Linked DNA regions of Drosophila melanogaster. The main gene of each other region encodes a partner of the protein of the gene in region 2 in a complex. Each region holds a gene or a part of one and is shown on either strand. Other genes may lie near its edges. The genes, in order: ksr and cnk. A codon is read from its position in the direction of its gene.

Evidence for each region.
Region 1: the proteins of cnk (region 2) and ksr are in contact, whole or in part, in a cryo-EM structure (PDB 8BW9), measured with the Drosophila melanogaster proteins. Residues at the interface, in NP_001286524.1 of Drosophila melanogaster: Lys79 (codon at 9,220), Asn80 (codon at 9,217), Asn82 (codon at 9,211), Gln84 (codon at 9,205), Leu88 (codon at 9,193), Glu183 (codon at 8,908), Asn187 (codon at 8,896), Ile190 (codon at 8,887), Gln191 (codon at 8,884), Ile193 (codon at 8,878), Ser194 (codon at 8,875), Asp195 (codon at 8,872), Pro196 (codon at 8,869), Val198 (codon at 8,863), Leu199 (codon at 8,860), Gln200 (codon at 8,857), Pro201 (codon at 8,854), His288 (codon at 8,593), Thr289 (codon at 8,590), Met291 (codon at 8,584); in NP_001287177.1 of Drosophila melanogaster: Arg900, Gly901, Met902, Lys903, Gln904, Ser905, Leu906, Ala907, Gln910, Ser911, Gly912, Arg913, Lys916, Asp917, Met920, Tyr925, Lys945.

What each region holds. Positions count from the first base shown.
Region 1 is NT_033777.3:5,473,230-5,489,530, forward strand, and holds ksr (kinase suppressor of ras), read right to left. Parts: upstream 10,678-16,301; 5' UTR 10,409-10,677; coding exon 7,508-10,408; 3' UTR 6,761-7,507; coding exon of another isoform or gene 6,617-6,760; 3' UTR 6,554-6,616; coding exon of another isoform or gene 6,404-6,553; 3' UTR 6,344-6,403; coding exon of another isoform or gene 6,158-6,343; 3' UTR 6,093-6,157; coding exon of another isoform or gene 5,889-6,092; 3' UTR 5,814-5,888; coding exon of another isoform or gene 5,657-5,813; 3' UTR 5,161-5,656; downstream 1-5,160. Other genes in the region: HDAC3 (histone deacetylase 3), read right to left, coding at 1-716, 786-874, 937-1,094; CG45100 (uncharacterized protein), read right to left, coding at 1,144-1,260; Hcs (holocarboxylase synthetase), read left to right, coding at 2,031-2,172, 2,234-2,571, 3,077-3,233, 3,312-4,318, 4,381-4,529, 5,657-5,813, 5,889-6,092, 6,158-6,343 and 4 more; CG31550 (uncharacterized protein), read left to right, coding at 12,410-12,951, 13,006-13,655, 13,822-13,948, 14,606-15,078, 15,303-15,861, 15,915-16,044, 16,138-16,164.
Region 2 is NT_033778.4:17,409,793-17,425,918, forward strand, and holds cnk (connector enhancer of ksr), read right to left. Parts: upstream 10,216-16,126; 5' UTR 9,677-10,215; coding exon 9,619-9,676; intron 9,456-9,618; coding exon 9,292-9,455; intron 9,233-9,291; coding exon 4,781-9,232; 3' UTR 4,178-4,780; downstream 1-4,177. Other genes in the region: Vajk4, read right to left, coding at 1-203, 311-319; Prosalpha5 (proteasome alpha5 subunit), read left to right, coding at 3,119-3,251, 3,310-3,911; l(2)k01209 (lethal (2) k01209), read left to right, coding at 11,895-12,154, 13,864-14,171, 14,236-14,342, 14,406-14,713, 14,781-14,967, 15,027-15,620, 15,678-15,794; CG6550 (uncharacterized protein), read right to left, coding at 15,911-16,126.

The DNA.
Region 1 (16,301 bases), on a different chromosome or scaffold from region 2:
GTCCACCAGCAGCGAGGTCTCGTGCGTCCAGCAGCGGGCCACGTTCCGTAAGGTGTAGCCACCGCCTCCGACCACCAATGTGGGTACGTTCAGTTCCTTCACAAATTTGACACACTCACCATGTCCCTTGGTGCTCAGGGAGAAGCAACCTAGTCGATCTCCAGCTAGTGAATCCGCGCCACACTGCAAAACGATAGCCGTGGGCCGGTAGAAGTCCATAATGGCAGAAATTATGGGTTTGAACACCTGAAAATAGCTCTGGTCATCAATGCCCTCCTTTAGCGGCACATTAACGCTGTAGTATCGTCCCGATTCGGCGCCTATCTCGTACATGTCTCCCGTGCCGGGAAAAAAGTAGTTTCCGTATTTGTGGAACGAAGCCGTCATCACTCGGTCCGTAAGGTAGAACGCCTCCTGCACCCCGTCGCCGTGGTGCACATCGATGTCGATGTAGAGCACCCGAGGATGGTACTTAAGCAGCTCCAGAATGCCGATGACGATGTCATTCACGTAGCAGAATCCGCTTGCCTCGAACTTCTTGGCGTGATGCAGTCCGCCCGACCAGTTTATGCATATGTCGCTGTGGTTGTGGTTCAGCTTCTGGGCTCCCTCCAGCGAGGCACCCGTGTACATTGCACAGAAGTCGAAGAGGCCATCGAACACGGGACAGTCCTCGCCTACGCTGAAGTGCGCCAGGTACTTCGTATAGGCCACGGCTTAAGAACAGAAAATTATCAGATTATTCTAAATGTTATTCCAATTGGGCGACTTCCTCTTCAACTCACAATTGCACTGAATGTTTTGTGGAGTCACCTGCTGTAAGTAGGCGATGTACTCGTCGCTGTGGAAGCGGAGCATGTCCTGCGCACTGGCCCTGCAAAGAATTCCGGATTAGTATAATTTACGCGGCACAGACACACCTCTCCGCCAACTCACTTGTACGGCCTGTAGATCTTCATTTTCTTGTGCAGTCCGTAGTTCATTACCAGGCTGTGAGTGACCGCCAGGCGTTGCGGCTTCATGGGATGCCCGGCTCCATAGTGGAAGTTGCCCACGTCCGCGTTGTAGAAGTACGACACCCTACGGTCCGTCATCGCGCCAACTTCTCAATTGGATCGGTTATTGCAGGGACGCCGTAGTCCCCTAGTTGTGGACCAAATCCTCGCCGGGCAGCAGGTACGTCTTCGCATACAGGACAATCAGCAGAACGGCCACGATGAAAAGGAGTCGCCGGGTTGTGTCGTATTCGCCCAACAGCATGCCGCTCCCGTGGTCACCTTTGGGTACCTTTGTTTAATCGTGAGATATCAATTTGCTAACTTATTGCCAATTGAAGACAACTTAAAGCGGCGTGCGCCGATAGTGTACTAAAAATGGACATAGCTAGTGATGTACAAACGCACAGTCACGTCACGAGAGCATCCCTATGGTGATGCTATAATTTTTGTTCTGCTCAATTCACAAGTCTCTCTGTGCATGTGGTTTTATTTTATTTTTGGTCGATGTAAGGAAGGCTAGATGTTGTAAAATATACGTGTGTCTTTTAGTTTTCATTTAGGTTTATTTTTAAGCCTAATGTATTAAATGAAATAAATACACGAACGTACGCTTGCCAAAAAAAAAACCCGCCAGATATGACCGAAAGCCGCCGGGCCGGCAGCACTGTCCAGTTAGTTTATCTTCTATTTTGATTTTCTAATTCGACTCTGCTCGCGCTAATTTTCGTGATAGAGAATATTGGAATATTGGAATACGCGTATTGGAGTATTGGAATTGGAGAATGCAGTAATCAACAATAAAAGTCAGTGGACAAGGGAATGCAGAAAGTGTGTCAACTGGCTAAAAACGGCGAATCAGGAAGCGCTCCTTTGGGCAACCGATAAATCCGCCAGCCGAGCAAAATCGGAGCCAATTACGAAACCGCCATTGATTTTGGTTCCCATCAATATGTAAGTTGTGCCCCGGCTTCTGAATTAGTCCCCAAAAAACTTTGAGTCCGCGGAGGAAGCAGTACCCACCAGAAATCTGCGATGTTGACCCTGTATTACGTGAGTGCCACCGTCCTGCAGTCCTGGCGCATTCAAAAGGCGTGCTCCAAGATCGCCGAGCACCTCGCGCAGCCCTCGAGCATCGCCTTCTATACCCTCCAATCGGGCAGCGATGACGGATTCGGTAAGTGGCGGCGTCATTGGAAGGCGTTCACGCTTATATAGACTGCCTGCTTCCTCCACAGATCCCGCCCTGGCCAGCTCGGAGTTGTGCTGCAATCGGAACGCGGCCAAGGTCACGGACATCCTGTGGCTGCACGCCAACCAGCGGGGTTGCTGCCTGCGTCCGCTGCAAACGCTACACATCACGCCTTGGATCAGCTTTCCGCCGGCGCCCAGTCTGCTTCCCTTCTCCTATGCCGCCGACACGTTAACGCCGGCGTCCACGCCCACGGAGGCGGACGTCCCGCGCCAACAACGGGTTTCGCTCTCTGCCCAAGGGGAGGAGCGGATGCAGCTGCTCCTTGAGGCCGACATAGAGCCACTACAGCGGCCCAGCTCCGAGGACACATCAGCAGTACGGGTAAGTTAACCCGACGGCGTGTTGCGTTTTTTTTAATCTCCAAATCCATCAATAAAAAACAGTAAGGCTTAAGCAAATTCAAGTTATAAATGTTTAATTGCCACAATTCGGAGTCCACAAATACATGTTTATACATGTTTATTTGCAACAGAATAGTTCAAAGACTTCAGGATGTAGGAATAGCTTTTTAATGGACTTTTAACTACATAGTTTGGAATTCACCATTAAAGGGGGACTACGAATATTACTCCAAAGTATCTTAAGAATGCTACCGTAATTAAAGTTAGCCCACTTTGTATCATCATAATGAGAACAGATAGGGACAATCGACCTTCGGGTGACGCCGCAATGTGGACGGTGTTGCGTGCGGTAATCTTATTAAGATGTACATGGTTGAATCGATTAGAGCGCTGGCGTCATACATACATACATACGACTACACTAACTAGGGGTATCCTCTCGTGTGTCCTTTCTTCTTCTTGCATGTCGGCGGCCCATGAATCAGCTGGAAGATTACGGTAAGCTAATTGCTTGGAAAATAGATTCCCACCTGGCGGTGCTCATCGAAACAGACGTCGAGCACTTCACGAAACTTTTGATAACGACTTTCTTGAGAAATAATTTATGCATTAACGATCAGCTGCCACTTTTGCGGATTGAGTGTAAGCTGCACCTGAAATCGTTTTAAGAATTTGACTTCATCTTAAAAATCCCACTGATTTATTGTTTCTCCCTCCCAGCGGTGCAACGGGAAGGGGATCCGCAGCCCTTTGAGCTTCTGGCCAAGCATCTGAAGCGGCAATCCCGCATAAGCGTCGGTCTGGACAAGGATGGATGGAAGAAGCACATGGAGGACTTGCGTGCCGTAGGTGTGCTGGCGCACCAGGCCACCGAGTTCGAGTACCAGAGGAATCGCTCTGAGGGAAGAACGAAATCGGATCCCACCACACATGATCAACGCCCGACTTCGGAGCTTTTGGCCAAGGCTGTGGCCGTGGTGGAGCCCACCAACAAGGCATATCTGTCTCCGGCAAGGACGACAGAAGCCTCGCTCAAAGCCGAGGCCAAGGGAACGTCAACAAAACCTTTTCCGACTAAAAGCGATGCCAAACCCGCCACTCTTGCCAAGAGCGAGGGCACGCCAGCCACAAGCAAAGAGGACTCCAAGTTAACGCCAACTAAGGGTGCATTAAAGACAAGCGAACTAGAGAAACTAGCGGCTGTCCAGGCAGCGCAGCAGCAGAAGAAAGAGGCAGTCCAGGTCTCTCCCGTCAAGGCTGCTTTCTTAGCTAAACCACCTATGCTAAGTAAACATGATGAGCCTGATAAGGCATCAGATCAGCCAACGAAGCCCAGGAAATCCTTTGAGGCGGTAAAGCCGTTAAATTCTCCTCCGTCATCCAGAGCTGCTCCCTCGCGTCCTGTGCTGCAACGCAACAAGGATAGCCTGCAGGACGCAAAACCATTGAATGTTTTGGTCTACTCAGACAGCGCCAGTGCGCGGGAATCCACATTGGCCACTCTGCAGCAGCTGCTGGAGCGCAATGTGTACACGATCTATCCTCTGATGCCTCAGCAAGCGGCTCAAAAATACTGGACGGAACAGACTGCGTTGCTGGTCGTCTGCGGATCGGTGGCACACGGAATTGGGCAGATATTGGTGGACTACTTTCTGCAGGGCGGCAAGGTGTTAAGCCTGTGCTCGGATATACTGCACTTTGTACTCCCCAACTATCGCACAGCGGAGGTAGGACTCTGTTTTGTGGAAAATATACCCAAATTCGCCAACATCCATCCCGTGTTCTACAGGTTCGAGAGCACGAATTGGTTCAGTTCTCCTATGACAAGTGGCAGCGGGTCAAGATGATGCACCACATCTTTTGCTACCAACCGTCGCCGGTGAAGAAGCACTTCTCCACTGACAGCGAGGAGTCCACCAAGTCGCACTCTCGCAAACCGTAAGTAGCTATTGCTGCTCCCATCCAGACTGCCAGTGACCAAAACACATTGCTAACCTTGCCGATCTTCTTAATAGTGCCAATAACAAATAGCCCATTAACTGAGTATCAGTGTATTTGAAACCGAAATGTTGCATGTTTTATACACCCGAAAGCCCTATTCAAGTCGATTATTGCACAGCCGTCGGGTAAATTGTAAAAAAGAGGCCAAGTTATAACGCTTTACTTTTTAGACCCTTGCAGAAGGTATATATCTTCCAGTCAGAAGTTTTCAGGGCTTAAAGGGTTAAAAGGCACTTTCTTCATTCTTGATCAGTTTTACCAGCCAAGTCCGTCTGTTCATCCAGTTTTAAGGATTCTAGCCTCTCAGTTTTAAAGCTGTTTGCATGAAAAGACTTCCTCCTGAAATATGTAAGTAAGAAAAGGGAATAATCGGTCCTCTATTTCTTATAGCTTCCATAGGAATAATCGAAAAATAAATGAAATAAAAATGGAATATATAATTCCCGTTTTAATTTGTATTATATTTTTTCTTGACATATACATATGTAATTTCTGCAAGGGTATATGAACTTCGGCCTGCCGAAACCAACCTCCTGTCTTGTTTCATTTATGTATATTATTACTTTTTCTGAATGGGGCTTGAAATGAAATGAATTAATCCTAATTAATCGTTCTTATACTAAACCGATTCTAACCAATTCCAATTCTCATTTTATTTCTCAAATGTTTCATGCTCAAATTGGTCTCGTTTACTCTAAATATGGCTTAATTTCTATTTGATTCGGTGTGCACTGTAATCCATCTATCTAAACTCCGTTTTCAATCCGCCTAACTAACTAACCTATCTATGTTTTCTGTAAGCTCTCTTAACTCTTGTTTTTTATCGATTGAATGTGCCATCCATGTAATTTAATTGTTTAATTGTGTTATAAACATTTGGCATTTCAAACCTTTTCACCATCCTGCTACGTTTACCTTCTAAATCCTTAAATTTCTGCGTGTGCTTCTATATGTGTGTGCTATCACTATTATAATCCATCCTACCAATAACTAAAATAACAACAAACCAAAAACAAACAAAAATCGAAAAAAAAACACAAATCAAACCACGAAACGCTGCTCAGAGCTCTAGTATGTCCAAGGTCCATGGAACTGAAGGATCTGGCCGGTCACAGCCACAATTTGGATGTCCATGTGCTGGGAACCGAGGAAACCTGGAATACGCCCAGCTTGATGTTGGCCAAAAGCCTGCAGAGCGGCGGAAAGGCCGTCTTCTCCCAAGTAAGTGATTGCTCATGTAAATATAACAAACATATATTAAAAAAAAACATTCCTATGAAACAAAAAAAAAAACAGGTGCACTTGGAAATGAATCCCAGCGAATTTGAATCCGATGAGACTAAGTACTCCATTCTAAAGCAAAACGAGCGAACTCGCCTCGAGATATTTGCGGATCTCCTGGGAAAGTACTTGGATGTGCAGGTCCGCGGTGGAGACGGTGTCGACCAGCCGCAGCCTGGAGTTGTCTACAAGCACGCATATTTCCTAGGTCGGCACGAGGTCAGTTCGTCTCTCCATTTGTTTTGGCATCAGAATCCAATATTCTAGCTCTTTTTGTTATTCAGGCCAAGTTTGAGCTTCTGGAGAAGCTACGTCTGCGCTGCAGCGGATCCGACAACGTGATAGCAACGCCGAACCTGACGATGAAGTTCTGTGGCAAGGACGATAAGCCTCCAGTGGCCAACAACAATGTCCTGCCCATACTCATACATTCCTGTCCGGATGACTTCTCCACCGTGGATTACTTCGATGTGAGCGCATTCTAATTCTAGTCTATAGCAGAATTAACCCAAATTCCTCTTATTTTAAAGAATCTTAAGACGGAACACATCGGACGACTGGTCATCTATGCACCGGTGGTCAGCAGCTCCATGCATCTCATAAACAACCTGGAGCTCATCCACGGCCTGGCTGTGCTCCCCGTGCAGCAGACGTCCGGAGTGGGTCGCAGAAATAATCAAGTTAGTACTCTAGAAGCATCCAGATTTAAGTTCTTGTTGAAATCATCGCTTTGTGCTTTCCAGTGGCTTAGTCCGCCGGGCTGTGCCATGTTCTCGCTGCAGCTGCACCTGACCATGGACAGCGCTTTGAGCTCTCGGCTGCCTCTGTTGCAGCACCTTGTTGGAACGGCGATTGTTAATTCGCTCCGCAGTCATGAAGAGTACGGGGTGAGTCAAGACTGTAAAGTTTTACCATTTAGTTGAATCTTAAGTTAAGATTGTTTCGATTATCTCCGCCTGTGGGACGATGGGACGAACCTCAGGATCTGTAAAACTGCCAAGTGCACAAAGTGATTTTTTAGGTTTAATAAGTTTATTTGACATTTTGTTTCGATTTCGCATTTAAAGTCCATTTACTATATACACTTGACCATACATAATTCACAATATATATTTAATTTAACACTAGTCCGTCATATACAATACATTGCTGCTGTATATACATGTATATATATATATATATATATATATATATATATATATATATATATAGTTCTCTTACACATAATTAACAATTTAGAAATTGCTCACCTGATTAACGTTTACATTTATGTTTGCCACAGTGCTTGTTTGTTTGTTTGTATATGTATGTCTATGCCTTCTCTGTTTGCCTCTGCTCTTAAACATTTAAGCGTTTTGTCTTTTTCGAGTTAACATTTGATTTGCCTTTGTTTCGTTTGCTAACAACTGCAACTGGAGTGCTCCCGATACATGCCTACACATATGTATGTAGTTTTTAAAATGGATTGCTATAATTTGGTAGTTACGTTTATGTATTTACAATCTTCGCTCGGCTCGATAGAACTTCGCCTTGGGAGAGAGTTTGTGTAGAGTGGACGAGGGCACAAAGCGAGCTAGCTTAGTTGGTAGATCGAAATTGTACTAGACAGTGACAGTGGCCATGCTGCAGTTCCCTCAGAACACGGACTCGGCGGAACGGGAAAGGTTGACGGGGTGGGAGGGACTGCGCGCCAGACGCTTCTTGGGAAGATGCTCCAGCAGGGAGAGCAGGCGTGCGAACTGCGGCCGGTGCTCCTTCTCGTAGGTCCAGCACAGCATCAGCAAGTCCTTGACATCCCGTCCAGACTGCAGGTTGGCCAGCGACTGCTTCATCCCACGGCCAACCTGCCAGATGATCGATTCCGCCGGCTGATCCTTGAATGTGAACTCGCCGCAGATTAGCTCGTACCAAACGGTTCCGAAAGAGTAGACATCGGAGTATGGGGTGAACTCCAGACACTCTCCACGCGGCTTCTCCGGCTGCAATGCTCGGATTAGCTCCGGCGCCAGGTAGCACAACCAGTTGTGGGGCACTCCTAGGCCCATATCACAGTAGAGCAGCTTGGTGGAGCTGAACAGCCCAAAGTCCGTGATAATCACCTTGCCGTTCTCGATGAAGATGTTCTTGGTGCGCAGATCTTTGTGGATGATCTCCCTTGCGTGCAGGTAGCCCATGCCCTGGGCGATCTGCTGGGCAATGAGGAGAGTCCGGTTCATGGCAAACTTCTCCCGACGCTGGTGAATATACGTATACAAGGTGTTGCCCTTGCACAATGAAGTCACAATGGCCAAATATGGTGGGTTCATGCAGGCTCCCATGAACAGCACCAGGTTCTCGTGTCGAGTGTTCTTGAAGTTGGCTACCTCGCTGCGAAACGTCTCCAGCATGTGTTCGTCTTGCAGATAGTCCTCGTTGAGCAGCTTAACCGCCACATCTCCGTGCCAAAGGGCTCGATGCACGGTGCCGAAGCGTCCCTGCCCTATCCGCTCGAGCAGAAGCAGATCACCATACGGGATGTCCCATTCCTTGAGTGAGATCGAGTTCTGGCGCCATTGTCCCGAGTCTCCGTCTTCCGTTGAATCCACACGAACGGGTGTCCGGTCCGAGTCCGTGCTGGCACTTCCAGACAAGGAGACTGTCTTGTCGCTGTCATTTGACTTGTGGGTATCCGTGTACTCGCTGGTGAACGGCGTCCTCTTATCCACACCGGCTGTGCTCAATTTTCGCGGAAAGAAACTGCAGGTGCTGGTGGTGGTTGTGCTATTGACCAGACTGCCCGTCAAGGTGGCCGCAGTAGAAGCGTTTGAAGTTTGGCTACCGATGAGCGAGCTCATGTGCCCGTTGGAGCTGCTCACCAGACTATCAAGTCCTCCGTTGGCTGTTGCAGGCGCCGTGGGGAATTGCTCTGGCACTGGTTCATTGGAGATGAGCGATACACCACCGCTTCCGCCACTGCTCGTCACCGTCACGTTGGGAAAGTTGAATTGACTCGGCTGGTGCTTGCCAAGCGAAGGCGTAGGTAACAGATTGGCGCTAGAGCTGCTGCCCGCCTGATCCAGCTCGCGCTCCCTTTGCTGGAACAGCGCCGGACTGCTGGGCGTGGAACTAGTGCAGCTGGAACTCGGCGAACTGCTATCGCCGTGCTGCTGATGCAAGGGCTTACCCAGGGTGCTCTTTTTTACCAAAGGGGATCCTTTCGCCGCGCCATGCACATGCGGCAGACTGGCGTATCCTCCCTGCTCCTTTATGTGCCGAAACTCGTCCACATATTCTCGTGGAAGTCCACAGGAGGGCGGTACGTGCGGTGCGCATGACTTGTGGCAGATGTACTTGCAGTCGGTGCACTTCATCCAGCGGTGAAAGACCTGCTTCTGGCACAGGGTACAGGTGGCCATGAAGCCCAGGGCCTTGGTGAAACGATGCTTGATTGCATGACCCATGCCCACGTGACCCACGCCCGGAGAGCATGGCACCATAAGCACGTTCGAGGAACTTCCTCCGGAGCTGGCATTAGTATTTGGGTCCACAAAGATGTCCGAGCTGGTGGAGCTGTGGCTATCGGGGCTGGGATCAGTGGGCAAACGGTTGCGGGCTAATTGCTCCCCGTCCACTTGCACATGACTCTGGCTCAGCAAGGTCTGGTGCTTTCTAGCTGGCGGCGGGGTACCACGACTCCTCTGTGGTGTTCCATTAAGGCTGCTGCTCAGCCCACTGGAAGGCGTGAAGGGCGAATTGGGTGGCGAGGGCGTAAGGGTTAAAGTCAGCTGGGAACCCTGTGTGCTGTTCAGCTCTTCTGTCGCTGAGGGCGATTGGCGGCCACTTTTGAAGTTGGTGGAGTTGGCCAGAGCGGAATTCTTTCCCTTGACACCATGCTGGCGATGATGGGTTCTCGGGGAGGCGGTTGAATTGTTACCCAGTCCAATGTTTCCCACACTGCCGCGATGAATGTGGGTGGGCCTGTCCCAGGAGTCCCAGTGCCACTGCTCTGGATCGTTGTTGCTAGCCGCAGTACCGCTCTCCAGCGACTCCATGCACTTCCTTAAGTTCTGCATGGCCCTGGTCAGGCGTCGCAGTTCCTCCTCCTCTCGCTGGCTGGGGCTGTCAGCCAGGAGTTGACGGATCTCCTCGTCGCTGAGACGCAGGCTTTGCTCTAGAGTGGTCAGGCGAGCAAGGCAGGCGGTAAGAGTCCCCTGGCTAAGGCCCACTACGCGCAGCCATTGCCTCAGTTCGTTGCCCGTTGTGTGGGGCACAAGCCCGTTGGCCGGGATGCGCTCATTTAGCCGCATCTTCGCCAGCAGCAGCTCGGAGAAGTATCGCACCAGCTTCGACTCCAGGCAACGAATCTCCTGCTGCGTCAGCGTGGAGCTGATCGCGCACTGCGTTCGCAGGCCCTCCAGATGGTTGGCCGAGAGATCAATCATGTCCTGAATGATAACCAGGTTGCTGTCTACGGACAGCGAACCGGAGATGGGATCGTTGGCATTGGTGGAGCCCGTGTCTGGAGCCGATGCGGGTGCGTTGTTGTTGCTGCTCATCCTGCTTATTCGCGACGGAGTGGAGCCCGATTGATTTTTTCAGACGCCCCCTCGGGGACTCGACGATTCGATGGGACCAATGGCTGGGACTCCGCCCCGCATTGTGGCCCTCGCCAAGCGACCTTGACGTTCGGTGCTCCGGCTATCGCGCACGCTAACGCCCGCAACTCTAAACGGCTTAGGCAATGCGAAAAAGCAATAATTTGTACAAGTTCCTCGGCTGTTGTTGAAATTTCTCTACACCCAAGTAGCGCATCGAGAGAAGTGTGACCATACCCGGGAGGACTCCTTCTCACTGCACACCAAAATGTACTAAAAGCACTTATCCGAAAAACTTAGGGGCACTCCTCTGTATTTAAAAAAAATAGAACGTTAAGTATTATTATTCTTATGTTGTAATTATATTATGTCTTCGAGTGTATATAGCATATATATTTCAATTCTATTTGAAAAATTAATCCAGAAATTATTTTCACATTTTTATTTTATTAGTCGAAATAAGTCAAATATTTTAATATTTATATTTTATTATTTGGAAATGGAAATTAGGTAGATATTATTTTAATATTTTAATTTTATAACTAAAAATAATTTTTTTAAGTTAATATTTGATGTTCCAATTTATATTTTATGATATGTAATATTACGGAGATAGGCGAGTTTTACTTAATTTATTCATATCACCTTCAGGTGCTGGATATTTCCATTAAGTGGCCGAATGACATTTATGCAAATGGAAATCAGAAAATTGGGGGCCTCGTCATTAATACCACACTTCAGGGATCCCAAGCCATCGTCAATATCGGAAGTGGAATTAATTTGAACAATTCAAGACCAACAGTTTGCATCAATGACTTGATAAGAGAATATAATACCCGTGTCCCGAACAACAAGTTACCTATACTTAAGTACGAGCTACTTATTGCCATGATATTCAATGAAATCGAAAGACTTTTGGGAGAAGTACAAAACGGAGACTTTGATAGTTTTTATGCATTATACTATTCGCTATGGTTACACAGGTAAATTTAAAACATTTTTAAAATACATTTAATTTGCATATTACATTTACTAACATGTTTTTATGTACAGCGGGCAATCTGTTAAGATTTGCCTACAAAAAGATCAGGAAAAAGAGGCCGAAATTGTGGGAATCGATGACTTTGGATTTTTGGAGGTGAAATTACCAACTGGTACTATAGAAATTGTGCAGCCCGATGGAAACAGCTTTGATATGTTGAAGGGATTGATTATACCCAAGTATCAATAGTGAAATGAAGCAGATGTGAAAACTCATATTATTCCCCGAACCCTCTAGTTTAATTGGCCCTTAAGCAACTTGTACTTTTTAGGCAAATTTAGGTCAATTTATAACTACGTAAAAACGTTTATCCTTATAAATATTTACAAGGTGATTCTTCTTAAGTGGCTTTACGAAATAATAATGGATAATTTAATCCACTAAATTAAATACTGCCAAAGAGAATTATATGTTAAAGGAAGTCTCAAAATATTTATAATGACAGGTACATTTGTTTGTTCCCTATAAACCAGTGTTTGGAAATTACTTCGTAAGATAATCGCGTTTGTTACCATTGTTATCGCCATCGATTCCTCTGCATACGGGTGTTTTTGAAATTTGAATTTAATAAATACATATTCGATCATTGCTGACCTTAGACCACTGAGATTAACTGCCGCACAGGTCTTATCTTAAATTTAAGATGGATTTTTTTATTACATAATTTTTTTATTCTAAAATTGTTTATTTTATTATTCTTCTAAAATTTTTTTTTGAACTGAACTTTCATTAGAAAGTTATATTTTTTAAAATTTTTTTGAACTGAACTAAAGAGAGCTTGACAGTGTAGTTTCCTATAAAATTGTCAACACTGGTGATGCGAAGACTTGGTATAATTCCAAGTATGTGAGTTGGTTACACTGTTGCTTTGCTGGAAAAGAAAATTGTGGAATAAAACGGAGTCTGCGGCATTGGGAATTATGTCACAGCGAAATCACAGAGTGGACCGCTTCGCCCAGATGACAAAGCAGGAGGAGATCATAGCCAAGAAACGGCAAGAGATCCTCGAGAAGCAGAAGACGGCACAGCTGGCGAAGGCGGTGGCCGCGGCGCAGAACTTGGCAGCGCAGCTGAAAACCGAGACGACTGTGGGAAAACCCATTGGCAACGAGGTGGAGTATGAGGAGGATGCCCGATACCTGGACACCGCCGTCCAGGACACCTCTCTAGCGGCCGGCGAGGATGGCCTGGAGGCTGTTCACATTGAGGCCACGGCCAGCAAGGGAAAGACGGAGGACGCGGTGGCCCCCAAGACGCTGAATAGCTTCACTGGCAAAACGGGCAAGATCACATTTGGCATGAAGCGTCAGCAGCTGCCTCAGCCCAGTGTTGAGCAGCCACCACCGAAGGTTAAAAACACTTTCTGCAACGATGGTTCCTTTTTAGAGAACTTCAAGAAAATACTCGAAAAGCACGAAAAGCCTCCGCAGCCCTTGATTGTTCCGCCGGTTCCAGTGCCCAGGTGAGTCCACTATCGTAAAAATATTAATGTATATTAATTTGTGGGTAATTATAGCGCCGAGGAGAACAAAGCCGTGGACACGGAAACAGCAGAGCAGAACAACAGTCCCCAGCTAGAGGCGGCCATCGCCATAAGCTCGGCAGCAGCCATGGCTACCTCCATTACGGTGACCAGCTCGGCGCCAACTCATTTGGCTTTTGGACTACCCGTGCAAGCAGTGCAGCCACCACCGCCGCCTCCATTTGCATTCAATCCTACGCTTTTGCAACAGGGACCACCGCAGATGCAGCTGCCAGCTGCATTCTTCCACGGCCATTTGCCTCTGCACTTGCATCCGGCGGCAGTTGCTCCTCCGCCACCTCCACCGCCTCCACAGCTGCCCATCGCTCTGACCAACATGGGACAGATTTACATGCAGCTTGGTCCGTCTCCAGTGGAGGCTATGCAGCTGAATGCCATACCGGCGCCCAAAGAGTTTGACTTAAATGCCATACCTAAGCCACAAATAAATCTGGAGGCTATCCAGATGCCCAGCATCGGTGGTCATTCGACGGAGCAGCTTGGCCTCCTGCCGGACCGCATGTCCATGCCAGTGAATCCACACCCACCGCCTCCGCCGCCACCTGTAGTGGAGGAAATGGAGCAACAGCGCCAGCAGGTGGCACCTCCACATCCACCTCAGCCCACAGCTGCGCCGCCACAAGGTGTGTAACACTTGCAAAACAGTCCTCGTTGCCTGTTTTGATTTGCCATCTCCATTCCCTATCCACATCCAATATATACTCTCATTCTAACCACATCCAACTTCCTACTCATTCAATTTGTATAGAACTTTAATCGTTGAGCACGATTTTAAAGCAATTTATGTAGTTTTTTCAGAAACGTGCATACAATTGCCAACGTGCTTAGAAAACCTAATCGCACTGGTCGCGGAAAATGGTGAAGATTATGAAGATAAAATACGTTTGCATAGAAGCGAGTTGCATCCGGCCTTGTGGTAAATGACCTAAACATGTTTTAACTGGGACTAGTGGTAGTAGATGCACATAAGGGATGGACCGGGGGAGGGGGGGGGGGGGGGTCGTACAGTCCGTCTTAATTGGGGATTTTTCACGTTTACTTAATTGCTTTCGCAAGTTGAATCATTGTATAAGTGCCAGTTCTTTAGGATAGTAACAATTGAATTTTAAAAATTAGTCCGATTTATGTTATAGTTTGGTTGTTTTTAATTGCCATTACTCCGATATTTCACACGACACACACAGACGCACAGATTTCCGTTCCGCTTACTCAATCGTGAATTTAAAATCACAAACAGTGGACATGTACATGTTTTTCTTTGATGCGTTTTAAGTTAGATGTCTGATTAATACTACCAATGCCATGTAACATCTGACAAAACGGACCAACTTGATGGGGGTGTAGGAGGATTAGCCAGACCAGTCGCGTGGACTCATCGAGCGCACAGTGTTCCGTCGTTCCTCGATCGTCATCTAAAGTCTGGAGGAGCCAGCCGGCGGATGACAACTAATAATCTCTGAATAAGCCGCTATTGGGGCGCCTCAAACAGTTATTCATATAATGTCTTTGTACACGTGACTAACGTCGAGCACTTTTCATTGTACTTTTCACTTCTTTTGAATTTTGATAATAGGTTTCTTTATGATAAGAGCTGCGAGCAGTATCGAAGCTATAGCGACCAACTCCTCGACTACAAACAGCAGCGGGCTGAGCGACAACGGGAGCGGGAGCATCAGAAGCTAAGCCGGGACCATCAGCCGCAGGCGACGGAGCAGACGGACGCACAGCAACACCGCGAGGAGCAGCACAGCAACTCGGCGGCTGACAAGTACGACCCAGAGTCGGCCATCAGCGCGGACTTCGACTCGGATGACGAGTACATGCGGGGCATGATGGATCGCAACCGGGACAACATCAAGCGCCGCATTGAGTGTCGCAACGAGCTGAGCGACGAGGAGAGGCGCGAACGGGAGGAGGCTGCATCCGGAGAACCGCCGGATGGCGATGACCAGGACGACCAAGACGACAAGGAGTCGCAGAGGCAGCGTAGGAAGCGCGAGCGCAAGAGCCGATGGGGCGAGAAAGAGCAACAGTTGCCATCCTCAAGTATGTTTATATACTCTTAACCCTAAATAGTATATATATTCGTGATCACAGCCCGAGTCGATCTGTCAATTCCCGTCTGTCCGTTTATCTGCTTGTCTGTCCGTCCGTATGAACGCTGTGATCTCGCAGATTTTAAAAACCAGAAAGATGTAGACGACTGCCACTACCACTGAAATAATATGTATAATTATGACGCTACTGACAACAATCCTTATTATCTACAGGCACTTCGGGAAACTTTGGTAACCAAAATAAACCCATACTAAGTGGCATCACGCGAACAGATCCCGCGTTGTTGCAGTATGCTCGGCTCAACTATGGATCGACTCAGCTGAGCGAGGAGCAGTGGAAGCAGTGCGAGGAGCACTACAAAGTAAACCTGCTGTATCAGGACATGATGCGCAAGCGTCAGGAAATCGATCGACTGGCCCGTGGCGGTAAATTCAAGTACGAATACGACTCGGACGAGGACATTGAGGGCGGGACGTGGGAGCACAAGTTGCGAACAGCCGAAATGGAGGCCACATCCCTATGGGCAAACGCCCTGACCAAGCAAAGCGAAGGCAAGCATCACATCGGCGACTTTCTGCCCCCCGAGGAGCTCAAGAAGTTCATGGAGCAGTACGAGGCGAAGAAGAACAACAGGCAGCCGGATCTAAGCGACTACAAGGAGTACAAACTAAAGGAGGACAACATTGGCTTCCAAATGCTGCAAAAACTCGGCTGGAAAGAGGGGCAGGGCTTAGGACAGGACGGAGCTGGAATTGTGGACCCCGTTAACAAGTAGGTTACCTATCCTATGTTTGAAAGTATCTCACTGTATAATATGGCAACAGGGCACCGCAACGCGATGGAAACCAAGGACTTGGTGTCAGCAGCGCTGCCCAGCCAGAGGACTGCGACAATGAATATGACGCCTACAGGAAGCGAATGATGTTGGCCTATCGTTTTCGTCCAAATCCTTTGGTAAGTAATCCCTGGAAACTGGCAAGGGAAGAGAACATAACTAATATGATAGCTATAAATGCTTAATATATATGACTTCTTATTTGTTTGCAGAACAATCCACGTCGCGCCTACTACTAGCACTACCTAAAATGACCCCTACCCACATAACTACCAATATCCTAGGTCCACTTATTCAACTGCAACTTTGCTGAATAAAATGTCCTCGTTTAAATTAAACAGCGGACACGTCAGTTTATTTTAGGGGGTCGTTTATT
Region 2 (16,126 bases):
TTGGTGACCGTGTATGGGACGGGAATCTTCTTCTCGATGGTCACCGTCTTGATGTGCTCGTGGTGGGGCTGGTAGTGGTGGTAGTCGCCCAGATGGAGTCCTCTCTTCTCCACCGTCTTGCCATCGCCCTCGGCCTTCTTATCCTCAACGGCTCCGCCACAATGGGCCAATGCCACGCACACGGCGAGACAAGGAAGTACGAACTGCAATGGATGTACAAGATATAGGCACGGTTCACACTCTGATCACTGGGAATCACTAGATCCTCGCTGGGATTCTGCACTTCCGCAAACTATCCACAATCCATTACCATTCGCATTGTTGAGCTGCTGATTCGACGTCTCACGGGGGAACAATTACTCCACAATTCGCTGTGCTGCACGGGTAACGAGATCCAAGCTGGGACTGAATCGCTGAGCCGCTGCACTCAGCTTATATACACCGAAAAATTGGACTGTCTTGTCTTTCTATATCTCGCAACGCAAGTCGACGGTGCGGCGCATTCGCAACTCTTTTGCTGCCCGCTGTTGATGTTGTTGTTGGGGATTTTGGCTTAGTAATGAAAAGTCAGTCGGGGGAACGGTGTTATATGAAAACAAGTTTCGGTTTCATTTTCCACCAGCGGGGTGGTAGGGAGGGAATGAATGTACGCCACTGGAGGCACGACTCCTGCACTCGAGATATTACAACAAGGTAACCGGGTCGTTATCCTACCAGACAATAGCTAGGAAGTGGAAATCAGTGGTACACAGACCCACATCAAAAATCGGCGGTGGCTTTGATTTGTTGGCCAAAAACCATAGCCAATTGGTGGCCGAGGCTTCCGTTTTCTTGTTGGTCCCACACCTGGACATATGATATATAGATTCGAGTGGCTGGGATTATGCAAATGCCTGCGGCTATTGACTTCAACTTTGTTGCAAACCCAACTCACCGAAATCCAATAGCCAAAACATAAGCCCAATGTGGTAAGTGGCGGAGACAATAAGAAGGTTAAATGTAGCACAATGCGTTCGGATATTCGATATATTTCACATATCTGTATTTCATATCGTCTTATAGAGCTTTATGGGGTCATCCACAGCATCTCAGCTTGGTGAGTGGGCCCACAAAAGATATACACCGTAAAAACTGGCATCTTCTTCAAACTATGAATCTTCTAGATGTGTTCGAAGTTTTGAGTTTATCTCATGTTTTCCTATATTTTCTTAGCTTAGGAGTCCTATTCCGCATCTTTTCCAGTGCATAGTGTGGTTCACTTTTTGGCATCATTGGAGCAGCATTGGGTCAATGGATTTTCTAGTTGCATGGGCAAGGGGATGCATTGGTGGTCCGCAACGAAACCCCTGACACATGGCTGCCACAACTGGCAATTTGGTGGCTCCCTGGCCGATCGTGATTGCTGCCCACTTGTGCCGCCTGTGGGAGCCCACGGCGTGACTGTTTATATGTATAGATACATAGATGCATATGTATGTATCTGCTGGATATACCATCGGATCCCGTGGATGCATGTGCGACGTATTCGCAAGTGCGCATTATGTGATGTATGTCTGACTGGCTGCCTGGTTGCCTGGAATTTTGTGCAATCACTTGCAGTCATTAAATTGAAAACATACTTAGCTCCGCAGTTGGCTATTTTAAAATCCATCGTGTGGCAATAGCAACAATTCGACTAAACACAACGACTTAAAACAAAAGCCAGGTAACTCTCATTTTCTTTTATTTTTCGCCAATCCAGCCTGGCTAAAGCCCGAAATCGAAAACAAAAAAAAATAAAAGAAAAAACGACAGACGCGGAAGACAGGCCATAGCATTTACATGCCCATTCTATTTCATAATCAAATTTAGGCCCCGCTTTTTTTTGCCTGCTAATTGCCCATTGTCCAGTTTGTCCGCCACTTTATACCTCTCCCGCCCCCTCCTCATCGTCAACCTAACAACTTTTGCACCATTTTGCTATTGCAATTCTTCGGGGCGATTAACGGCTCTTTCGGTCTGATTAACGGGTTTGCAGTGTCTGTCTCTCTCGCTCGCACACGCCGGATGCTCTCCCTGTCCCGCGCACTGCAATTGGTCAACGACCTTCAGTTGTATTTTTTTTTTTTTTGGTTAAATGGTGGCAATACTTCTCCCCTGCTCTTCTCTTCGCGCCACTCCCAAATCTTCAGAAATCTTCGCATCTTGTGGCGCACGTTCGCTTTATCTTTGAAAGAAGGGTAAAACAAGATGGCAACCTTGACCCAATCGTTATTCCATTTCCATTCAATCATGGCTTCTCTTGTAACGCGGGGATTTTCTGACCATTGGAGACTGTGCGTGTGGGGTGTGATTAGATTTGAAATTGCCATAATTGGACAGTCGGGCAAACCGACGAGCCGCCAATGTGAAAGTAAATCTCTTAATTCGATTGTTATGCAACTGCTTCCTTTAGTCCACATTACACTGATTCGTATGTGAAGCTAATGAAAATATATCGGAAATTAAAAATAGATATTTAGATGATAGTAGCCAGTATCAAGTAATAAACGTATCTGGAAATTGGTAATTAAACCGGGTCCTTGAAGTAGTCCAACACTTAACTGGTTGTTTGACTTATATAACCATTTAAAGGCTTAATGGCAATCATGTCAATTTGGGCATTAAAGCGGGAAATGCAAGAAACTTGATTGGCATTGCAGCAGAGCTATTTTCAGTTAATTCAGTCAAAAACCTATAAGATTAAGATTTCTAAAAACTATATTGAAAATACCTTAAAAATCTTTTACTTCTTCAAAATATTCTTTGTGATCGTAATTGTAAATGAAAACTTAAAATATCAATTTAATTTTTTATTTAAATATGTGTAAAAATTAACAGCGACAAACTTGCCAGATCAACCAATTTTGATGCAGAGCTGCCAACCCATGTTTAGTACAGTAATATTATCAATCGAATAATGTGGCAGCACTAGTTATCGATATAATCAGAGACGGCACTTTATCCGCAAGTCATTTCAGCGTCAAGTCATCCGGCATTTGTTTGCGATTTTGTTAAGGAAATTATAGAAAAGTAAGCCCTTTTCGAAGTGTTATTTGTCAACCAGCGTGCATAACACTTAACTAAATTACAGCCCACCATGTTTCTCACGCGTTCCGAGTACGACAGAGGCGTGAACACCTTCTCGCCGGAGGGCCGCCTCTTCCAAGTGGAATATGCCATTGAGGCCATCAAATTGGGCTCCACAGCAATTGGAATTTGCACGCCAGAAGGTATGTTCTTTGCTGCCATAAGTACACGCGGAGATCTAATGGTAAAATTGCATTCCAGGAGTGGTTTTGGCGGTGGAGAAGCGCATCACTTCGCCGCTAATGGTACCCAGTACTGTGGAGAAGATTGTGGAGGTGGACAAGCACATTGGTTGCGCCACCTCCGGCTTGATGGCCGATGCCAGGACTCTGATCGAGAGGGCACGCGTGGAGTGCCAGAACCACTGGTTCGTCTACAACGAGCGCATGTCCATCGAGTCCTGCGCCCAGGCTGTGTCCACTTTGGCCATCCAGTTCGGTGATAGTGGCGACAGCGATGGTGCCGCCGCCATGAGTCGTCCCTTTGGTGTGGCCATTCTATTTGCCGGCATCGAGGCGGGACAACCCCAGTTGTGGCACATGGATCCCTCCGGCACATTCGTGCGCCACGGAGCCAAGGCCATTGGCTCGGGCAGCGAAGGTGCTCAGCAGAATCTGCAGGACTTATTTAGACCCGATTTGACTCTCGATGAGGCTATCGACATTTCGCTCAACACACTTAAACAGGTTATGGAGGAGAAACTAAACTCCACCAATGTGGAGGTGATGACCATGACGAAAGAAAGAGAGTTCTACATGTTCACCAAGGAGGAGGTGGAGCAGCACATTAAGAACATTGCGTAAGCGGCAGTGGTTTTAAATTGATCTAATTTCAAATGTAATGTGAATAAAGAAAGGGATTCTAAATCGAACTAATAATAGAAGGTAATACTCGTTTTGATCAAGTTGATTTGGTTACATTAGTAAAAAGAAGCAGGGTTCAGCACTTCTGTCCAGAGATTCTCATTTCTTAGGTCTTTGAATAAGTTGCGTGCATAAAAAGATTTTCAATCCTCCTCTAATGAAACAACCTGTTTCTTGAAAAATCCCAAAATAAAAAGATCGTTATTCTATTATGTACAGTTGACTTTATTCGTATGCATGTATATTTCGTGTAATTGTGTATATATATATTTCTTGCATTCCGCTACAACATTTCTGGCTCCATTGGCGTCGCTGGATGCCATTACAATAATATCTCATTTCGCATAATAATATATGTATATTACACGCAATCTAGACACAAACTGTTGAGCAAATCAAACAGCTCGGATTAACTTGGTTAATCGCGTACAAAGGCAAATCATAAAGAACCGTCTTTGTTCGATGCACAGACTTCTAAAGTTATTCTCCATTTTCGCTATAATTCATTGTTTTGCTTGCGTGACTACATGTGTAAAACATTTTGCCTAGAACCGAAATACAATGCAAATAAGGCAGATTAAACATTTACATCTAAGTGGGTTTCGAATCGAAGGGATTGCAGGTATGCGTGTGTTTGTTTCTGGTGGACAGACAGGGAAGACGATCAAAATGAACAAGTTGTATACCTAAATCGTACGAGAATATCGCTATATATAATATATATATATATATCTATATGCGTGTGTATAAATACATAAGTAAACGGGGGCTAATCCCCGCGAGCATTCACAATAGTTTTCATCACACATCTAGGTCTGATGGTGTTCGCCGCCACTGGGACTGCTGTTGGTGTTGGTGTTGTTATTGGTGTTATTATTGTTGTTGTTGTTGTTGGTGGTGGTGGTGCTGGCGGTGGCACTGGTGGCACCACTGCTGCTGGGCGTCCGCATCACGATGCGGGACAAGCTGGTATCGCTGAGCGAGTAGATTTCCGGCTCAAAGACAGGCGGACACTCCATATTTGGATAGTCCGGCGTTGCCGCCTTCGAATCCACAGATCCCGAACTGGACACTTTTGGGGTGGCCGCACACTCTGATATCGTTGCCTCCGCTTGCTCCTCCTCTCTCTGCCTGCTGGTGTTGACGGGAGGCGGTGGCGCTGGGGGCAACGGCGGCTGCAAGCCCTCCGACGAGCACAAATTAGTGGTCGAGGTGGTTAGTATGCCAGGTCCACGGTAACTTCGATATCCCGCCTGATTGTGCGTGGGCAGGGTGATTTGGGAGAAGATCTCCTGATCGCAATCGGGATCCGCACTGCTTGGTGGCGTTACTGCCTGCTGCTGATGGTGATGGTGCCCGAACAGCGTGCGATGCAGCAGCGGTGAGCCCAGGAAACGATTCTCCTTGGAGGGCTTCGCCGGCGTGCCACCCGATATGGAGAGTTTCGAAAAGATTGGTATCGGGGCCGAGTTCTTGCGATGCGCATCGTACTTGGTGCCCACTATCTTGTCTCGCAGATCCTGATTGTACGTCTGGCTTTTCTTGATGCTGCTGCCGCTGCCGATTATGGTGACTCCATTGCCTACGGCTCCATCCAAGGCGTGATTCGATTTGGACTTCTTGTTCAGCGGCAGCGTCATAGTCATCGCATGACCCGGCCCACAGCCACTGCCCGCGGAGCCAGTTGAGTGCTTGGAAAAGGGAAACCGACGATCGCCGCTAGACTTTCCTTTGGACTTCTTTTGATCCGCACCGGATCCGGAACTCTTGCCGCTGCCGCCGCTGCTGTTCTTGTGCAGGAAACTGGAGAGCTGTAACTGCTGTGAGCGCAAGAAGTGCTTGGCCTTGCTGCTATGTTGCTGCTGCGTCTGCTGATGTTGTAGCTGCTGCTGCTGTTGCACATGCTGCAGGTGGTGCTGGTGATGATGATGATGATGGTGGTGCTCTTGCCGGCTGATGGAGCTAGTGCTCGGCTCATCCCCACATATCAGCTCGTAACCAAAGTCGCGCAACTTCTGACCTTCCTTAGTTCTGGTTCTCTTAATACTCTCGTCGTCAGGCTTAAAACTGATCTCGTAGTCGGGTGTTTTGGGCAGACTCACGCTCTGGATCTTGGGCAACTTTTCCAGCGGCTTTGTCACGCTGCTGCTCATGGCGCTCTGCTGACTGGCCGTGGATTCCGTCCGTGCGTGCTTGTGCTTCTCCACACCCAAGTGCACTCGATTGTTGTACATTTCCTGGGCCTCCTCCTCCTGTTTGCGCAGCATCAGATCCTTAAGCGTCACAAAGCCCTGTATATTATGGCCATGGTCGAGTGTATTACCCACACTCATCTTGGGGAGTAGTGTTTTCGAGGTATGGAAATCGAATTCCACCAAATTCGGATTTGAGGCGTGCAAGAAGTTGAATGGTGCCTTCTTCAAACTCGACTTGCTACTGGGACTCTGGCTCTGGCTCTGACTTGGACTCTCCTCGGAGCTCTGATGCTGCAGCGATGTGGGAGTGGCTGTAGGCGTGGGCGTTGGCGCTGGCGACGCGGGCGGACCCAGAATCGAAGCAGATAATGATACGGCAGACTCGGTTCCACTGACCACCGAACTCCTACTTGAGCTACGCGACAGTTTAGGACCCACCAAAGGTGGAATCTGTGTCGGCGGCATTGCGGGATCATGGTAGCCCGGTGTATTGGCACCAATCTGAATGCCAAAACTTCCGCCTGGCACCTTCCTATAGCTGCGGTATTGCTCCGTTGGCACAGGGATGTCGCTCGACGGTTTCGCTGCACTGCTCTTGAATGTATTCGTAAATTTGCGAAACGAGTCCAAGTAGCCGCGTTCATGCTTAATGGGTGCAGAGGAAGGTGGTGTTCCGCCAGATAGTGTCATCGACATGGACATTGACTCCTTGTTGCCTTGCGGCGAGGGCGTGCTTAAATTCTGGATCACAAGGGCATCGCATTCCTCGCCTGAGCTATCGTTCTCCGAATACAAATCCTTTGCGTCACCACCGCCTTTTGAACCCGTACTAGGCGGCACTTTGAGCGAAGCCTGGCGCAAGAAGTCCACCCATTGGTTAAGTGCGTCCAGCGACTCGGCCGCAAAGTAGAAGCTCTTGGCCGTGTGGTAAACTTTAAAGGCATGCGGTTTGGAGTGCACTTCTTTTGCCAATGAAACCGTAAAGCCCGGTAAAAATATTACCAAGCTGGCGCTGGTACTCTGCTTACTGCGAAATCCGTACAGTATCGTATCCAGCATCACGAAATAGATTCTCGCCCAGTAAGTCACTCCGCGATGATTTTTCTTGCGCCTGTACAGATGACCTTGGATATCCCCAGTCCCCAACAGCTTGAGATTTGTGTTCCGCCGCTTGGCCATTAAGCTGTGCTTCTTTTTAAGGGTCAGTGTCCGGGATTTGCTGGGCGTATGAAGCTCACTGATCTCCGATGGATCAACTGCGGCTGGTACAGGTACTGGCACGGGAATGGAGATACTGGTGATACTACTAGCCGGCTGCATGCTGGCTGGTTTTGGTGGAGGTGGAGGCACCGCCGGTGGCGTCATTTCCCTTTGCTTGCGGGGTCGCGGTGGCGGTGCTGGCGGTGTGACAAGCAGGAACTCCTTTCTTGGCTCAATCGCTGGCGGCGTATCCGATTCTTCACCCGAATTATCGTATGCCGGAGTACTATGACTCTTGTCTAATCGGCCCCTTCGACCTTGCTGCAACAAAGGCATGTTAATGGCCTCGGCCAGGGGCAAGTCCTGACCTTTTGTAGCCAGATTAATTGCCTCTAGGAGCTCCTCTGCGTTTTCTGTTTTGCAGTTGCGCAGCGTTTCCAAGGCGTCCTCGTCTCCCTCATCCGCAAAGGGAATCGGTTCAAAGGTCTCCAGTATGGTGTTCTCAACGTTACAGATAAATTTTTCATTCTTCATCACATAATCTTCCTTGGCGTCGAACCGAACTACTTTGCTGACACCCGGCTTGTAACGATCCACGAGGAATTCGCGCTGCGAGTCCTCCGTCAGCTGCTTTAGTTTTCGCGCCTCATGAAACATTCGCCTGGCCTTGTCCGTGGAGGTATCGCCCGCAATCCCAATGCAAGTGGTCGGCCTTGCTGCCATCTCTAGGCCATAACCGAAGGATATCGACTTATCCCGTATACTGGGCGAGCCAGGGTCGCAATTGGTGGGCGAACCAATTCCTGGCTTTCTTTCGTGCCACGATGGAACGACTAGATCCGAGTTTTTCAGGCTAAGATACTCGCATCCACAAATAGTGTTTCTTCGTTGGAGCAAAGCTCTTGGCTTTGGGTAATACAAACGGATCTCCCGTGCGGCTAGCTTGGGATCCGTTGGTGTTGGAATATCACTGCAACTGGAATCAGAGTCGGAGGCAGAGGACACTGGATTGGCCTTGGTAAGTACCTCCCTCTTCTCACTGCTTAGGGATTTACTGGGATCTGGCACCGCGCTTCCTGTTCCTCCTGTTGCCAGTTGCTCCGTGTCCAGGGTTAAAAATGCAGCACGGGGACTTGGCATCTGTGCCGCCCAGCGGGCGGCCATATTCCTCTTCTTGCTGGGCAACCTGTACGGCTGCATATAGATCTGTCCAAACATCTTTGTGTGCTTCGGCCGTTTCTTCACCGTCAGCACCACATCTGGAAGTGCTTCCCTCAGATGCTCCAGTACTGTGCGATGCTGCCAGCCCACAACGGTCTGGTAGTTGATCTGCACAATCTCGTCGCCATCTTCGATTTTTCCGGAATTGTGAGCTGGCGAGTTGTACTTGATATCCGTGACACGGTGAATGCCATTATAACTGGACTCTATGTTGAAACCCAACTCGGATTCGCGTTTTTTAAGGGTGACAAGGTTCAGAGAGGCTGGCTGCAGTACCATGGGATCAGATATGTCCTGGATTACAAAGTTGGCAAGATTCTCGAGCCGTTCCGCTGACTGTCGAATCGCTGGCACCGGCTGCAGGGCAAAACGATCACGGTGGGCAATTGTGGCCAGCTCCAGGCCGCATTTGAGCACATTGCCACAATACTCGCGGTACATCTCCTGCTTACGGAACGGTGTTCGCTCCAGGCTGCCCACCAATGGCTTTAGAGTAGCTATCGTCCTGGTAATATCGTGCAGTATCCGGGTATCGATCTTAGTGCTCTCCGCATGATTCCTGGCCAGTTCGCGATGCAGATTCTTAGCTGCCGTGGCCACATGCAAGGCCATGAACTGCAGATTGTCGTTTTTCAGGTGATAATGCTGGAATATCAAGCTCAATTAACGGGTTTGTATGTCACAATATTTGTTTGGGGTCTCACGAAGTTTCTTAAGTTCTCCACCGCCTCCAGCACGATCTCCTGATGGCCAATGCGCAGCATGCCCAGATTCTCCAGCTCGTATGGCCGTATGTTGAGCAACGCCCGTCCGCCGATCTCCTGCTTGGAGAACTCGTACAAATACCCCTTCATAGACTCATCCAGACCTGCGAGAATCAGGAAAACATAATTATTATGATGTGCCTGTTGAAACCTTGAACAAAGCGGAAATTCTTGTTGCACTTGTTGTTGCTGCTGCTTTTTGGGGCAGTGGCTGCGAGATGCAGTTTTTTTTTTCTCAGCTGCGCTTTCCTTGACCTCGAGCATTACCTTTTATCCAGTCGGTGACCTGGTCGGGCGTCCACTCGGCGATGTTGATGTAGGCCATCGCTGCTGCTGCTGATGATCCGCGCTGGGCCGCACCTACGGCATATTATCAATTCGTGCTGCAAAAACACTCGAACCAAGTTCAGAATTGCTATATTGTTGCGTCTCTCTGGTCCGGAGTGACCATCTTTTAGAGCTCGAACAATACTCGGTGCTCGTTAAATACTATCGAACTAGCGTGGCAATCGATTATTTAATGCATTTTAAAACTGAACAAAATGCAATTTATTCAAAGTTTCTTTAAGGGACAGAACAAGAGGAAAGAAAACTATAAATTATGATACTACTACATACTACTTTCTCCATCCAAGATAGCCAGGAAACAGCCACATGTTTCTGTATGTGTTTATTTTTATAGTCTTAATTAATATGAATTTGGCTTGCAGTGCAAGAGAGTAAGAGTAACAGTTATCGATAGAGGACCAACAAAAAATAATCGAATTGGTAATTGTCTCATGTTGATATATTTTCCGAGCACTACCGCTATTTACAACCTTTTATTTGTTAGTACCTAAAGATCATGTTGTAAGCTAATCTTTTAGAAACCACAAAGTTTTATGTAAAATATTCACTTATATTGACACAAGCTCGAAGTAATAATTATCAAACATTTAAAAACCCCGCTTCGGATTTAGCCATTCACATTCGAATTTACTGCAACCCAACAGCCAACAGCGCTTCGCAACACTGTCGCCGCCCCAATCAAACAGCTGAGCGCCTTGCGAATGGAATTGAATTGCCCCAAAACATATAAATAAATGCCTCAATGACAGCATCAAATGGAGATAAACAAGGCAATGAGCGTCCCTCCGCTCCAGTGCCTTTCCCCAGCTGACAATTAGCACTTTACTTGACCATTCAAGCTCGGGTAGATGTATACATATGTATGTATACGAAGGCGGCGCACGTTTTTCCAACGCAATGCCTTCAGAAACGAATCAGTCACTTGCTCGGAGAGGGAGAGGCACGACGAAGTAAATCACCGCGTGTTTTTTTCTAATCGCTGCAACTGGCTGCTGCAATCACTATTCTCTTGTCGAAATGTCTGTGACCCAGACGAAACAAATCAAGTTCTACAACCCATCGAGTTCCGCTAGCTCCGACAGGTAACGAACGACTTTTTAATGCCGCATTAATTCACGCACGGCCAAAAGTAAAGTGTGAAAATCCAACAGAAGTCATTAGAATGTGATACACACTCACACACACACCCGCGCACAAACATATCTAAAGAGCATGTGCTCCAAGTCATTCATCGTATGTACGTACGTACCTACTTACATGTGTGCGTCGTGGGGCCTCTAATCACGCAATATAAATAAATGCTGGGAAAATGGCATAGGGCCTGCGTTCGCAAACACCACTACATGTGCAAACGCATAACATGTGATAAATTCAATTTCGATATAGTCGCCGGTTGCATCGGATCGGAAGAGAGTGTGAGAGAGAAGGCAAAGCGAACACCCTGCGAGAACAGTTACAAGCTAGGGATGGGCGCGTCAGCGAGTAACTTGTAATGTTGCAGTTTGAAAAAATAATATTCATACCACAGAAACATTATTAAAATAACTTTGGTGCGATCCGTGGAATGCTATAAAAAATTACTTGTGTATAAGTATATGTAGCGTGAAATATTTTATGATTTTATGCGCCTAAAAATTAGAATATTTTTTTCTCTAACAAATTAAATATCCTTCACTTAACAAAAGTAAAAGAGACATTTGTTATGCAAATTTGGCTAAAATGTAGAGCACATCTTCGACTGAGTCGTGTCACGCCAAACCTCATGTACCACATGCCCACCTCTATGAAGGCTTGCGACAACAACAATGCAGAGACGACGCCGGCAGAGGAAACCGCAGCGCAGCGCAGCTTTTTAACCTTAGCTGCCTTAACACTTTTTCTTGTCATTCAATCCCCAAACGCCGCTCACCTCGCACTTCTCGCTACACCTTTGGCTTAATTTTTTGTTTTCATTAGTTATCGAATAAATATTGGCCGCAACGCAAAAGGTGAATCGCTGCGTACGAAATAAAAACTCTAAATCACATGTGATCCACGCCGGCGGCGATTCGCGTGAGCGTTGTGTGAGTGAGTGACCCATTTTGGCTTGGCATCGCCGGTTGCTGTGTTCTTGCTGCCTCCACATCCAAGTTCTCACGCCCACGCCGACGGACTGAGTGATTCAAAATCGCTGGCAGATCGGGATCGGGCTAAAAATGAGCAGCATCACGTTTTTGTGCAGCAAGTCGGGCCACAACACCAACAACAACAGCATTAATAGTAGCAATAACGATGTTCCAAAAGGGGCAAAAGCGAACTCAGCATTTGCAGCCGCATCCGCCGGTTTACTAACCATCGCAAACCACCAGCAGCAACAGCTACTTCAGCAACCACATCAACAGCAGCAGCAACAACAACAACAGCATCATCAGCAGTCAAAGGTTAAGGCTATAGCAGCCAAAACCAATGGTCACATGTAATTCATTGCATTTTCCCCATTTCTTAACGTAAAAACCAATCGAAGTCCCATTTTACATACCAGACGTTCATATATGTATGTTTGTACATTCATTTGTAGAGAGGCATATTTGTGTGTGTGTGTTTGTATTTGAGTGCTTTTTGTTGTTTCTGTTGTGTGTGTTATTTACCGCCATTCTAATTGTTTTGGTGCTGCGCTTGTTTGTCCAGTCTCCCGTTTCGCGACGTCTCTTTCTATTCTCAGTGTTTAATTAACGCTTGCTGTGTTTAACATTGTTTATTGAGTCTGCCGCGCGGCAAGTAACAACAAATGGTGAAACGATGATAGCGTCAGCAAGTGCTCTCTCGATTCTTCAACATGGCAGCGATCACAACAACACACATGAGCCACGTTTGCCATTTCCAGTTCCCTTAGCCTCCCTTTGGCTCCCAATGTCCTGCATCTCCCTCGCCAGGAAACTCCCGCTTGCCGTCCTTGTCCCACCCGCCTGGAAGGCCATAACCTGTTGGTTCCTTTTTTGGGAAGAGCACGGCACACGTGGCAAGCGCTCATCTCTCGCTTCTTTTGTTGGTGTGCAAAAACTAAAAATATGCGGAGGAATCTCGTCTGTGGCGTCACCAGATTGTTGGCCCCACACTGAGAGAAAAATGAAACATTTTTGATTCTTCTAAATTTACATTTTATCACAAGTACCCCAAACTTATTTTAATATTTATCGTTTTTATGTTATGATAAATATTGTTCTAAAATTTTGACAACATTTTTTGACCTTCTGCAGAATTCTAAAAAAATATATCCTCAGTTTTTTCTTTCCGTGTGGTGAATTTCATTTTGGTACGCAAATGAAGAGCAGAAGATACAGAGAAAGGCGGAAAGAATGAGTGCAACGAACGCGCCTACGCAGCATTCGATAAATGGATACGTCTAGCGTTGCTTTGTCTGCCGGCCCCTGTTTTCTTATTTTTGAAATCTTCCCAGAATTGTATGATGAGTGTTTTTGCATGTACTTGGCCCTAGTTATTGTCTATTATTATTGTTTTAACGGCCAACTTCTTTCTAGATATTACTTACTAGTATTAGATATCAACCCATCATGATCATATCGTATTTCATGCCAAATCACAAATATTCCCATATCATATTACTGCATATTCCTGCAATACTTTTGCTATACCAACGTGATTTATAAAGGGAGCTGTAAATGTAACGTATTAGCTGTTCTCATTGAAAGCCATATAAGAATTAACCTGATAATACGTAACGATGTTATCTTCTATCACATTCAATTAAGGCCTCAAGTAACTTGTCTATTTATAGAACATATTGAGCAGTAGATTAATTTTACGTCGACGATATGCCTGGTTTCTCGCGTTTGTGTGGGTGTCAATACGTGTGCAGATGGGGGCTGTTAAAGTAGAGTAGGTCAGTGAGTATACTGCATCCTTGAACTTATAGCTTTAAGCTTGCATTGCAATAGCTGGTACGGCATGGTAGAAATTTCACTAACACGTTCTGTAATCTACTCTTTCGTACATATCAAAATATTTAAAATTATTATGAAATTAATCAGTGCTAGGTGATAAAAATGTTATCTCATGGCTAATCACTGAATTCCAATTATTTTACTTGTGGCTAACGTCATCGTTAAATGGTGGGAGTGTAGAACTTGATAATCGCCAACTAATCTATATACGTACTATTTGCAGCGATGACCGTTCACTCTCGGATGTCACAGAGCAACTCTATGTGGATCCGTATGCCGACCTAAGCAATGGCTTGCCCGGGGATCTCAACTGCTGTCCGGCCTCGCCCACCACAGTGCCTGCTAAAGCATCGTTGGATTCGCCTCTTAAACGTTCCGGTAGGAGACAGCGAACCACATCCATTGGCAACCAGACCACCACAGCGAATCCGTCCGAATGCATCATACGCGCAAATAACCGCACGATCTACACGGCCGGACGACCGCCGTGGTACAATTGTGCTGGGCAACAGGTGGAGCCCTTCGTCATAGGTAAACACATCACTCCCAAAAAACAAATCTTTCTAGTCTCTCTAATGTGCTTAATTTCCTTCAGGAATCTGCGGCGGTAGTGCCTCTGGCAAGACCACAGTGGCTGAGAAAATCATCGAAAGCCTAGACGTTCCATGGGTAACACTGTTGTCCATGGACTGTTTCTACAAGGTTGGAGAATTATAATTTAGTTGACGAAATACATTGACTGAATTCATTATGTTAATCCTGTAGATCCTTAATGAGAAACAGCATGAGCAGGCCCTGATCAACGAATATAACTTCGATCACCCGGATGCCTTCGACATCGAGCTGCTGCTGGACGTGCTCACCAAGCTGAAGGAGGGCCGAAAGGTGGAAGTTCCTGTCTATAATTTTGTGACACATGGTCGTGAGAGCCAAACGAAAACCATGTACGGGGCCAATGTGATCATCTTCGAGGGTATTCTTACCTTTCATAGTCCTGAAGTACTTAAATTGCTAGACATGAAGATATTTGTGGACACAGATCCCGATATTCGTCTGGCCAGGCGGTTAAGAAGGTATGTGATGGTTCTCGGCTCTGCCTACCTTGATTATCATATTTTGTTATCAATTGTTCAATTTTAGGGACATCTCTCAGCGCGGACGAGACCTCAAGGGCGTGCTGAAGCAATACCTTAATATGGTTAAGCCCTCCTATTGCAATTACATAGCTCCAACAATGGCCCATGCAGATATCATTGTTCCTCGTGGAGGCGACAACAAGGTGGCCATCCATCTCATTGTTCAGCACGTGCACACACAGCTGCAACTGGTATGAATTGCCTGCTTGCGGTGCTGTTCACCTTGTTAATTTGTCTGTCTGTCTTCCAGCGCGGATTTAAGCTGCGCGAAACTCTGGCCAACTCCTACAAGGACCAGCCAATGCCACATTCTCTGCACTTGCTGCATCCCACGCCCCAAATAAAGGGCCTGCACACGTTCATCCGTTGCCGAAATACGTCCCGCGATGAGTTTATTTTTTACTCAAAGCGCCTGATACGGCTAGTCATTGAATATGCGCTAAGCTTATTTCCCTTTAAGAAAACAACAGTGGAGACTCCACAAGGTGTCCTTTACGAGGGCAAGCGTATGGAATCGCGAAAAATATGCGGCGTCTCAATTCTCCGAGCTGGTGAAACAATGGAACAAGCCGTTTGTGATGTGTGCAAGGACATTCGCATCGGAAAGATCCTCATCCAGACCAATCTTAAGACCGGCGAGCCGGAGCTTTACTACCTGAGGCTGCCTAAAGACATAAAAGACTACAAGGTGATACTAATGGATGCCACCGTGGCCACAGGAGCAGCGGCCATGATGGCCATTCGGGTGCTGCTGGATCACGATGTACCCGAGGACAACATTATCTTGGCCTCGCTTTTGATGGCTGAGATCGGTGTGCACTCCATTGCCTATGCCTTCCCAAAGGTGAGATTGACACTAAATTCCAAAAGCCGGCATTTATTTATGTTCTTCTTTATGTAGGTGAAAATTGTTACTTCCGCTCTGGATCCGGAGATTAATAGTAAGTTTTATGTTATACCCGGCATTGGTAACTTTGGCGATCGCTACTTTGGCACGGAACCCTCTGATGAGTACTAAGGAGATCTGGGCCAATCCATACCTATATGGAACCATCAAGTTTCTAATGTATCTTAGGTTAAGTTCAAAACGTTACTTAAATTATGAATTTGGAACGAGATGTTTTATTGATGTGGCTATAAGAGTCGAACTACAAGCTGTATGAGGAAAGCAAGACTTCCCAACACCAAAGCGATGCCAAAATAGCGTTGGATTAGTCTTTCCCGACTCCTGGTTTGCACTTGAACGTTTGGTAACTCCTGATTTTTTGCACACCTCGTCCAATCGCGTTCGTCGTCTAAAATTTCTCCCACCATGCTAAACTTGCTCGCACTGGTAATTCGCACATGGAC